Linked DNA regions of Danio rerio. The protein of the gene in region 2 interacts with the protein of the main gene of each other region in a pairwise test. Links are inferred from orthologs where the notes say so. Each region holds a gene or a part of one and is shown on either strand. Other genes may lie near its edges.

The links.
Region 1: the proteins of mettl17 (region 2) and cep70 interact in binary tests that used the Homo sapiens proteins (3 or more experiments, as listed by UniProt). The link is inferred for Danio rerio from reciprocal best matches to the Homo sapiens genes METTL17 and CEP70.
Region 3: the proteins of mettl17 (region 2) and sf3b4 interact in binary tests that used the Homo sapiens proteins (3 or more experiments, as listed by UniProt). The link is inferred for Danio rerio from reciprocal best matches to the Homo sapiens genes METTL17 and SF3B4.

Annotation. Positions count from the first base shown.
Region 1 is NC_133197.1:12,315,248-12,319,005, reverse strand, and holds the start of cep70 (centrosomal protein of 70 kDa), read left to right. Parts: upstream 1-843; 5' UTR 844-948; intron 949-2,237; 5' UTR 2,238-2,251; coding exon of another isoform or gene 2,252-2,260; 5' UTR 2,261-2,456; coding exon 2,457-2,525; intron 2,526-2,625; coding exon 2,626-2,725; intron 2,726-3,007; coding exon 3,008-3,131; intron 3,132-3,758.
Region 2 is NC_133177.1:40,850,709-40,854,366, reverse strand, and holds the end of mettl17 (ribosome assembly protein METTL17, mitochondrial), read left to right. Parts: intron 1-330; coding exon 331-399; intron 400-510; coding exon 511-561; intron 562-681; coding exon 682-774; intron 775-2,703; coding exon 2,704-2,903; intron 2,904-3,045; coding exon 3,046-3,142; 3' UTR 3,143-3,243; downstream 3,244-3,658. UniProt on the Homo sapiens protein: Mitochondrial ribosome (mitoribosome) assembly factor. Binds at the interface of the head and body domains of the mitochondrial small ribosomal subunit (mt-SSU), occluding the mRNA channel and preventing compaction of the head domain towards the body.
Region 3 is NC_133194.1:8,483,082-8,486,839, forward strand, and holds the end of sf3b4 (splicing factor 3B subunit 4), read left to right. Parts: intron 1-2,671; coding exon 2,672-3,001; intron 3,002-3,283; coding exon 3,284-3,450; 3' UTR 3,451-3,597; downstream 3,598-3,758. UniProt on the Homo sapiens protein: Component of the 17S U2 SnRNP complex of the spliceosome, a large ribonucleoprotein complex that removes introns from transcribed pre-mRNAs.

The DNA.
Region 1 (3,758 bases), on a different chromosome or scaffold from region 2:
CTTATGAAATATATGTTGCAAGTACATATGACAGGGTTCATACAGGCGCTTAATGAAAATCAAGGACTTTTAAGCACTTTTTCCAGCACCTATTTTTATTTTCAAGACTGACACGCAACATATTGAAACATTGGTCCAGTAATTTTCCTATATAATATAATAGTAATTATATATTTACCTATATTGGTGATAAAACCTGCTTGGAAGTTCTGTTGATGTTTTCTCACCATTTGCTCATATACAGCTTCTGGAAACCTGGGTGAGGAAAACTGGCTTTACAGACACAAACTGTTTAAACAAAAAGATTCCCAAAAGTTCTGTCTCTCTCTCTCTTTCTCTATTTGCAGACGGTGCTGAGATTTGCATGCTGACCTTCATACGGAGAGCTGCCCTTTACACAGCATGCAGCAAAAAGAGCAACACAAAATGCCACAGAATCCGTAAATTTTGAAGAGCAGTATCTGTGAAGTGAGATTAGAGGCTTAGTAAATGCTGTCTGTTCAAAATGACTAACCTGAAAGGATGTTTTGAAAGATTGTGGAACATATCTGCTGAAGTCTTGTTTGCCAGTTATGTACATTTTAATATGTAATTACATTTAGTTGCACTAAAAATGCCAACTGTTCATAATAAATATTTTACAATGTATTTACATAATAAGAGTCTGGTAGGGAGCCCATATTCAAAAGTTAATTCTTTGCATCCATCTGGTGGACATTTGTTGTAACACCACTTTTTCTTAAGAGGGAAACGTCAGTACAGTGGCGCAAACTACGTTGTAGGCGTGGCTAGCTCATTCAGTTCTCCCATTGGTCTAAATCCAGGAAGCACTTCGTCGGTGTCAGTTTCCGCTGTTATTTGAATCAATAAACACACTCGAGTTTTCTTGTTTATAAAACGATAAATTGAAGATTTAATTGCTACAATTTAGCTCGTCTGTGGTTTAAGGTATGATTTAGAATAATACTGCTCAAAACACTTAACGTAAACGAAATGTATTAGCCGCGTTTGTAGACCTTATTTTTCATGTAGCGTTTTCAGTGTTTGTATGTTGTATCTACCGTGTGCTGTCACGTTTTAGCCCCTTTTATTAATGTTTCGCTAACTTTGTGGCCCCTAAAATTATATTAACTTCTAAGAATGTTATACTAGGGTTTTTATCTTGGTGAACATGGTAGTATTGTGAGTTATAGATCGAGTTATAAGCCAAAGATTGTGTACACGTTTTACAACTTAGCCCATGTTTTCACTCAGAAAATGCGTGTAAATCTCGCAAAATAGCAAGTTATATTAAACATGAAACGTCGACGTAGATCTATAGAGTTATACAGTAAACAAAGATTGTGTACGTATGTTTTACAACGTTGCCCTGTTTTATGTTTTCATTCAGAAAATGCACGTAAACCTCACAAAATAGCAAGTGTTACATTCAATTACAGATGAATCGTCAAAGTAGATATATTCACATAGTTTTTCTTATTGTAAAATCTTAAACAACATACAAAACTCCTACCAAAAAAGGTATTTGATGGTATAAGCACGCAATACCTTGCTCGGAAGTCACAAACATTACATAAATAGTATGCTACCTAACTAAAGTATTCTTGCTAGCAAATTTCAGTTCACTTCAAATGCATTTTTTATTTCTGTTTTACAAAAATCTCCATTTAAAAATAAAAATCTGCCAATGACATGTCATTTTATTAAGTTCAATTCAAGTGACCTTTATTTGAATAGCACTTTTACAATGTGGATTGTGTCAAAACAGCTTCACATAAAAGATCATAGCAAATTGAAATGGTGTATTTCAGTTTTCAAAGTTTAAGTTCAGTTCAGTTTAGCTCAGATCAGTGTTTTAATAATCACTACTTAGTCCAAACACTGAAGAGCAATCCATCGATGCGCAGGTCTACAGATCCCAAACCATGCAAGCTAGTGGCGTCAGCGGCGAGGAAAAAAAACTGCACCAATTGGCGAAAGTGGAAAAAAAAAAAAAAAAAAAAAAACATTAATTCGGTTCAATTCAAGTTTATCTGTGTATCGCTTTTCACAATAATTATTGTTTCAGTTATAATATATTACTACATTACAGTTTAAATTAGGACAGTTATGATATAGGTTGGACAGTATATAAACATTGTTAAATTGGATTTATACAGTATATAGTGTCCTTTTAAAATGGTAAAGTGCAATTTCAATAAAGTGCAAACTCAGCATCTATGTGTTTTCTCTTACAGGGCTTCTGATCGGGATGGAGCAGGTGAGCCCTTTTGTCTTTCCAGCGTGTGGAGGTGTTTCTTATTGTTCTTTGGGATAGTAATCTGATCTGGGTCTGTTCCCTCCATCTGCTGTGGGTGGACAGACCCTGATCAAGTCAGACAAAAAGTAGAAGATACAAGTAGATGCTTAAAATAGTGCAATAGCTCATCATTCATTTGTGATTTTCACTGACGAGCATGGATAGACAAGCTTTGCAATCCAGGGACAAAACATATGTGTTTTTGTGGACCTACAGCCAGTTTCAGGTAGCACAAAAGTGGAGATTCTGATAGTTTTACAGTTGTTTCTCCATGCATTAGTTTATTATTGTTGTTAATGCACGCTGCATATGTCATGCTTTTGCAGGAAGAACAGAGAGAATGGGACGCTGTAAACAGGTTGCTGCAGCATCACGGGTTTAAACCTGTCAGCTTTGCAGATCCAAAGGAAAACAAGAACCTTGCAGGTTATCTCATTTTAATAATTTGTTGCTGCAACTATGAAAAAAATGTAATTATTGGATTATTAAAGTTTGAAGTTAAATTATGGGATTAAATTTATTAACACATTTCTAATATGATTTTAGTCCTAATTTTTGCGTTTATTTTTTATATTTATTTTATTTTTTTAACTGTTCGCAAATATTATATCTTTCAAGTATACAATAAGAATTATAGTAGTTTAGATATTAGTCATTGACAATAACTGAAAAAAAGAACTAATGGTGATACTTGTTTTGTGTTTGTAGAGTTGGTTTTGTTGGAGCGAAAGTCTGCCTCTGATGTCCGCTTGATGTTGAAGACGATGCTATCGGATTCTGAAAGGAGACAAGGTTTAATTCAAGAGCTCATTCAGTCCAACAGCCAGTTAAAGTGAGTCTAGCTTTCATTATTAGTGTAACATGCCTTTAGTGTTGCTTAGAGGCCAAATATGTTTTAAAAGTTAAATAAATTCGAAATAATTTTATAATTATTTGTAATAAATATAGTTTTTTTAAGAAAAAAAAATTCAAATATCAGTATATGTGTGTGTGTGTGTATTTACTACTTGTATACAAATATCTTATTTTTGTCACCAAAATAGAATGTTTTACAGAATGATTTATAACATTTTAGATTATGACAAATCAATATTTCCTTTAGTTCTTGTTACTATATTACTGTAATACAAAAGTGAAAGTCACATTATTTTGTTATAATATTACTGTTTTTATTGTATTGATAAATATAATTGTCAATAAATCTGACAATTATATTTTCGTTATTGTCTAAATGAAGGTGTGTGTGTGTGTGTGTGTGTGTGTGTGTGTGTGTGTGTGTGTGTGTGTGTGTGTGTGTGTGTTTGTGTACACACAAACAATAAATTAAAAAATAGTTGATGCATAATTACATAATGTAATTTTTGTAAATGTAAAAGTTGACTTAATGATTAATGAAAAACAATAAAGTTTTTATCCATTAGGGTTAAATATTTTAACATTTGAAATCTAAAAAGTTAAA
Region 2 (3,658 bases):
CTTGCAAATGTTTATATTGTTAACAATTTTATGAAAATGAATATGAGTTTTATTGTAGGAAAAGTTTTGTTTTTCTGACAAATTCATTCCCATTATTATAACGACAGTTGTATTGCAAATACTTTGGCTAATCTATGGTTCATAAAGCAATCCCTTGGTTAATATGCAGTTACTATGGCTTACTAGTATTAAAAAAAATACTATGGCAAAATACCTATTTAAAATAATTTGTTTATTGAAATCTGGGGGGAAAACCCTTTTCTACTTAAATGATGTGTAAACTATTGTAATTGTTATCATTCTTAATGCAGTTCTTGGTATTTTGTACAGGTGTTGGTGGAGAATGGAACCAAGGAAGGTCATCAAATCCTTATGGAGGCCAGAGATGCTATACTAAAGGTTAAACTGATATTTTTTTGTTGTTAAAACATGACTTTCCATTTGAATAGTAGTAATACAACCTATGCATCCTTCAGAAGTACCTAAACGTGTCTGATTTTTCTATTGTAGAGAGAAGATGAGATACTGCATGACCCGAGGAGACCATCTATATTTGCTCCTGTGCGTTAAAACATCAAAATAACTTATTTCTGAAGTTTATTCTTATTTTTTCATCTTTAATAAGATATATTAAAATGTTTTATGCTGACATTGTCATCTGTATGGTTTCAATTTGGACAGTGCACGCACGAGCTGAAGTGTCCTAAGTTAATCAGGCAACCTGTGGTACCTTGTAACTTCTTCCAGTTCTACTACTCTCTGCCTCTATCACGGGTAAGTCCACAAATTTAGTTTCTGAATTGTGACAATCACCTCGAATGACTGAATTTCAGTTCAGTTGTTATCATGGCATGGACATATTTGAGGTATTTAGACAGTAGTTAAAGAGATAGTTCACCCAAAAATGAAAGTTTACTTAACATTTACTCCCCCTCAAATGGTTATAAATGAGTTTCTTTCTTCTGTTGAACACAAATGACGATATTTTGAAGAGCGCTGAAAGCCTTTAATCATTGACTCAATGAATCATTTGATCATTGAAACAAACACTATGCAAGTCACTGGTTAATCAAACAGTTTTGGAGCAAGTAAAAGATGAGTAAATGATGACAATTTTTGGGGGAACTATCACTTTACGATGATAGTTTATGAAAAAATAAGTAGGATAGGATAGGATCGAGTTTAAACAAAAAAAAGGAAAAAGGTGCTACAACGTTGCTCTAAGCAGACAACAAAATAAAACAAACAAAAGAATTAAGCAAAAACAATTAAGAACATACATTGTTTACAAAATAAGACCATATATAAATATATAATATATAAAGCACAGAACACAGTTAACGTACTACAGGTGCTCTGTTCTTGGTAGAGTTTTATCGAGGTAGGAACAAACGAAAGCGTTAATCTATTGGTTTTACGCATTGGCATTCTCAGTCTTTTTCCTGAAGATAGCAGCTGATATTCACTGAAAAGAGGATGTTTGGAATCAGCACTAATATTTATTGCTCTTCTCATGACCGCCTGATCATATAGAGTCTGTATGGGCTCATATTGTTGCATTCCTATCATTTTCATGGCTGCTTTTTAAATATAACCCAATTCATTTTTAAATCGAACAGAAAGATTTCCAAACCAGACTGTGATTCCATTGCAAATAAGACTTTCAAACATAGCTCGGTAAAAAATAAACAAGATATTGCTACCTACCCCATACAATCAGCATTCTTAAAAAATAAAGCCTCTGTTGTAGTTGTGTGCACAAGCTGTCAGTGTGTGTTCTCCAACAAAAAAACACTGTCCATATAGAACCTCAGATATCTGTAAGATGTAACTTGCTGTATCACTGTGTCTTTAATGATCACAGGCCTAAGTTCAGATACACTTCATTGGTCAAGGACCATTTCTTGTGTCTTTTTTACATTTAACACAAGACAGTTCTTGTCACATCACTGAACGAAATTAGCGATTTCACTGTGGTAGTATGAAAGGTCCATGTCTTTGTGTAAAAGACTTAGGATGGCAGTATCATCAGCATATTTCATAATATAAATAATAAAATGTGTGCTTCTGCAATCATTTGTGTACAAAGCAAAAAGGACAGGCGATGAAACACAACCTTGTGGCACTCCTGTATTTCTATATCTAACCTCAGAAAGTATCCCATTGACCCAGACCTGCTGAGCACTGTTACTTTAAAAAGAATTAAACAATATAATTCAGAAAGTACTGACAGCCATGTAATGCGACTTCTCTAAAAGCAGATGTGTCTGCACTGTATTAAATGCTGAACTAAAATCAACAAATAAAATATGAGCATAAGCTTTAGTATTTTCAAGATGCTTGGACACAAGATGAACAATAATGCTAAGAGCGGCATCCTCAGTGCTCCTGTTCTGCCTATAGGCAAACTGACATGTGTCTAAGAGTGGCTCTAGCTCTTTTTCCAGCAATGTGGTTTCAAATGTCCCAAATCTCACTTCAAAACATTAAAAAATGTATATAGGCCAAACTACATCGATACCTATGGCTCCTGGCGATACACTGATATCTTATTAAACATAACCAGGTTCCACGTAAATGCATTCATGAGAGAATGGGACACATTTTTCGTGTCACATAAAGATCAATACACATTTTTGGGAGAACTAGGCCTTTATAACATTCCTCTTTTCTTTATCCCTTTATATGAATCAACTGTCACAGAGCCAGGAAAGGCAGCAGGAGAGGTTTAGTTACCTGATTGTATCCCGTTCAGATGGAGAGAAGGCTCAGAAGGCTGAACATTGGGACATGGCTAGAGTGATCGCACAAGTCCATCGCCGACCCAGACACGTTCAGTGCCAGCTGTGCTGCGTAAATGGAGAACTCAAACAACTGGCTGTGACGGCCCGTCGTCATGGAAAGTATGGGACGCTTTCCTATAATAGATCTCTGCTATTTAGATTTTCAGTGAATGACCTTGACTTGTATTGATTCTAACAGGTTATGCAGGTGCAGTTCATTCTGGTAGTTGGCTTAAGGAATTTGTATTGTCTATTTTAACAGGGACATGTACAGATGTGCTCGTAACAGCGACTGGGGAGATCTGCTGCCAGTCTTTCATAAAGAAGATGAGCACACTATTAATGATGAGACGGAATGAGACCTGCGAGAAATCTGTTCATGCAGCGTGTGTGCAGTGAGGTTGTTTTGTATAAATGTATTGCTTGTTTGCAAATAAAATAGTTCTTGTATGCAACATGATATCTAAATGTCAGTTTTCATGTTATTTTTGTTTTCATGTTAAAAAGTTATCCCAACAGAGGTTAAAAGGCTATTTTTAAAGTCCCAATGAACCAGAAGCTGCAAACTGTGTTTTTTTTTTTGTGTTGTGATGATCACCATTTTAGTTTGTTGTCAAAACTGAGAGCTGGAGATGTGTGGTTTAATATATTAGCCACGCTCAATACCTAATATATATCTAATCTGACAATTTAACTGAAAAAAAATGTAGTTTCAGATTTCAATTAAAGATTAGAAGGGCAAACTATTTTTATTTTCTTAATGTCATGCACAGATGAATTGTTCACCACAAAACTGCCAATGTGAGCTAACAAAATCATATGGTTGGTTTTGATTTCTTTGGGACTTTAAGCATATTTCATATTTAAATTTTTAA
Region 3 (3,758 bases), on a different chromosome or scaffold from region 2:
GTAAAAGAAAAACTTCACTATGGTGTTATCAAGACTTTCAAGAAAGAAAAGAAAATAATGTGAGACTGATAACGACAGACAGAAAATAGAACAACATCAAATTTACTGTCCTGCCCTATAGACGCTGCATTTCAAATGCCACACATAGGTGGTAATTTAATGCAAAGATGATGTAGCACATACATAAATACATAAAAATGTTAATAGTTTTTAAATAATCTATTAAAAATATATAAAAAGATTTAAGATAGGGCTGTATGATATTGGAAAAATGTAATGTAACCCACAGTTCCTACTGCACCTATTCCATTCTGAGCTGGGATCAAACTGGCGATTCTTTGTAATGGAAGCCGGTTGCTCTACCAGGGAGGCTAAAGACCATGGCCTCTAGCTTCTGTGTCTAGAATACCTTTTGAGGTCAGAGGAGTGACGTTTACCTGCGTAGCCCTTTGCTATCTGGCCTCCGTTACACTCACCCTCCTAAACCTCACTGCTCACTCCCATTCCAGACGAGCCCTCAAGTGTAACCCACCGGTTCCTCTGCACCCAACCCGGTCTGAGCTGTGACTGGCAATTTGTTGTATGGGAGTCGATTGCTCTAACAAGGAGGCTAAAGACCATGGCCTCTAGCGTTTGTCGTTAGAGCACCTTTTGAGGTTAGAGAAGTGAGGTTTACCTGCTTAGTACTTCGCTAGCTGGCCTCTGTTACACTCACCCCCCTAAGCCTCAGTCTCATCCTGGACGAGCCCCCAAGTGTAATCCACCAGTTCTACTGCACCCGACCTGGTCTGAGCTGGGATCGAAACGGTGATTCTTAGTATGGGAATTGGTTGCTTCAACAGGAAGTCTAAAGACCATGGCCTCTAGCGTCTTTCACTAGAGCACCTTTAGAAGACAGAGGAGGGAGAGGTTTACCTGCTTAGCACTTAGCTAGCTGGCCTCTGTTACAGTAACGTTGTGATATTTTGTTAAAATACAACTAGTAATCTACAAGCAAAGATCAATACTATAAGATGTAAATAAAATTGAATGGTTTTCTGATGAGTCTAACGGTATTTAAGTAGTAGTTGAATAATCAAATGTTAAATACTGTGTGTCTTTGTTTTATAAATAATCCTATAAAAAAGAAAGTTAGAAACAGTACAGTTTCTCAGGTCTGAATATATTTAATACCCTCAGTCACAGGCCTCAAAAACACACATAAGTCATAATTTATTATCCAGACTGTACATTGAGGGTCCTGCAATTTGACTATTGTATATGAGCACATTGCGATATCTATGCTGAAATGATATACAGCTTTAATTTAAGATGCTGATGATCGTTAAACGCGCCATAACAGTTCTTGTGAAAAGGGTCCATTGCACATCCCTACGTTATAAAAAACCTTTCTTTAATTTGGTTAAAGAGGTTTAAACTTTACTTTCACGTTCAAAGACATCAGCCAGGGTTCCTACACTTTTTGAAAGTACTTCGATTTTAGACATACGGATTTAAGGCTTGTAGAGTACTCAAAAACAAATCAGGTCCTTAATAGTGCTTGATTTAAATTTGAAATGAAGTTAGTTTAAGGTGTTATTGTAGCAATTGTACTGTCCTGCTGACAAAAACAGAACTAAAATGGAAAATTCTTTATATAAAAATATTACATTTACATCTTGTACAAAAACGATGACAAATAATGCACATTTCATGAAAGAGAGGAAACCCTGATCAATAAATGCTGGCATTTTAATTATCACTGAGAGAATTTCTGCAGGTCTTTAAAAGTCATTCACCCTTTTACAGTTTCTTAAATCAGAGCAGATAAAAATCATAAAACATGGGTGCAAACTTGTCACTTTTCAGTCACGTGACCAGTATTTTGACACAATGTGTTCTTTTAAAAAATAAATCTTTACTTGGTCATAAAGTCATAAATGTACCTTAATAAAAGCCCTAATAAAATAAGATTTGTTTTATGAAATGGGTCATGGTTATTTAAAACAAGTTAAATATCAAATCCTTTCTATTTAACTTGAGGTGTATTAAAATGTGTCATTTCACTTCAATATTTAATATTTATATTTTTTATTTTACATAAATATTTAATGTTTTCTACAAAAACTCTTAAAAAAAATACCCCCGTCACATTTTGATGAAATAAAACACAAACAGGTATTGACCTTATTCTTAGCCGACGAGCAGGCGCTGCCATTTGAATCTTTTTGGCACGAGACTTCCGGTCTCATTCACTTACATTCATTTTTAGACATTAAAAACTGCTCGTTTCGCTGTTTGATGTTGCAAACTGATATTTCTCTGTTATATTATTCTACTTGGTCTGTATAGTCATGCAAACATTTGTTTGTAGAGCAAGTAGTTTGACCATTTTCTGCCGTTTATTATTCCTAGTCATTTCTCCCATAGGCGACTGAAATGGAAGTTCTAAGACAATCGCGAAAACAGGCGCACTTCCGCAATTTAGAATGTCAATACAGTAGTAGAAAACATCAGTTATTTTAATTTAAAGTCTCTAGTCATAATTCTAACCTAGGATTAGGTGTAAAATAATGTCATAAGTCTGTAAAACTTTATAGCCTAAAAGAAAATAGAAATGTTTTTCTGGTGATTCAAGTTACCATACTGTTATTTTTTTTCTGCATCAACTCTTTGCATGTTAATCTTGCAGGAATGCCTCCTCCCGGTGCTTTCCCACCTGTTCCTCCTCCTGGCACAATGCCACCTGGGATGCCTCCCGGTATGCCCATGCCTCCAGCACCAGGTACTCCTGCGCCACAGGGCGGTGGAGGACCCCCACCGGGACACCCGCCCTTCCCTCCTGCTGGAATGCATCCGCCAGGAATGCCGCATATGCCGATGCCTCCAACGGGACCTCCAGGAATGGTGCCTCCCCCACCTGGCCCACCAGGATCTAACCAACCAAGAGCACCGCCTCCACCACAAATGCCTCCTCCACCCATGGGTGTCCCTCCCAGAGGACCCTTTGGACCCCCAATGGGTATGTATGTGTGTGTGTGTGAAGGAGACTGACTTGTTGTGTTAGTATGTATTGAAATCATGAAATAATATTAAATTATAAATTATAAATCATAGTATTATGAATATATCAGTATTTTATATGATCATTATCACAATATAATGATGGTTTATATATATATATATATATATATATATATATATATATATATATATATATATATATATATATATATAAAACGTGTATGTGTGTGTGTTTTTATTTATGCAATGATTTATACAAATCTTCATCTACTTTTAACAGGTCCACCAATGCATCCGGGTATGAGGGGTCCTCCTCCACCAATGCCGCCTCCAGGTTATGGTGCGGGACCACCCAGACCCCCACCCTTTGGTTTTCAGAGAGGGCCTCCCATGCCGCCTCGTCCTCCTGCACCCAGAGGTCCGATGAGAGCACCGGCACCTTCCTAAACCCCCATGTGAAGACCAAACTTTGTCTCGTTTTTATTTTACAGTCTGCGCTCTATTAGATGGATCTCTTGCTTCTTTGTACACAGATTTCTTAATTTTGGTCAATGTACCTTTTCGGAATTAGCAAGAATAAACAGTTTTATATAACATGGTGGTGGTATTTTAAGTGGACTTTTAAAAACTCTCTACTATCATCAAACATTAATATCGCTATAATATGAATACATAGAATCAGAAGGATAGGATTATAGTTCCTAGACATATCAGCCTAGAACAGGGATCACTAAACATGTTCCTGGAGGTCTGGT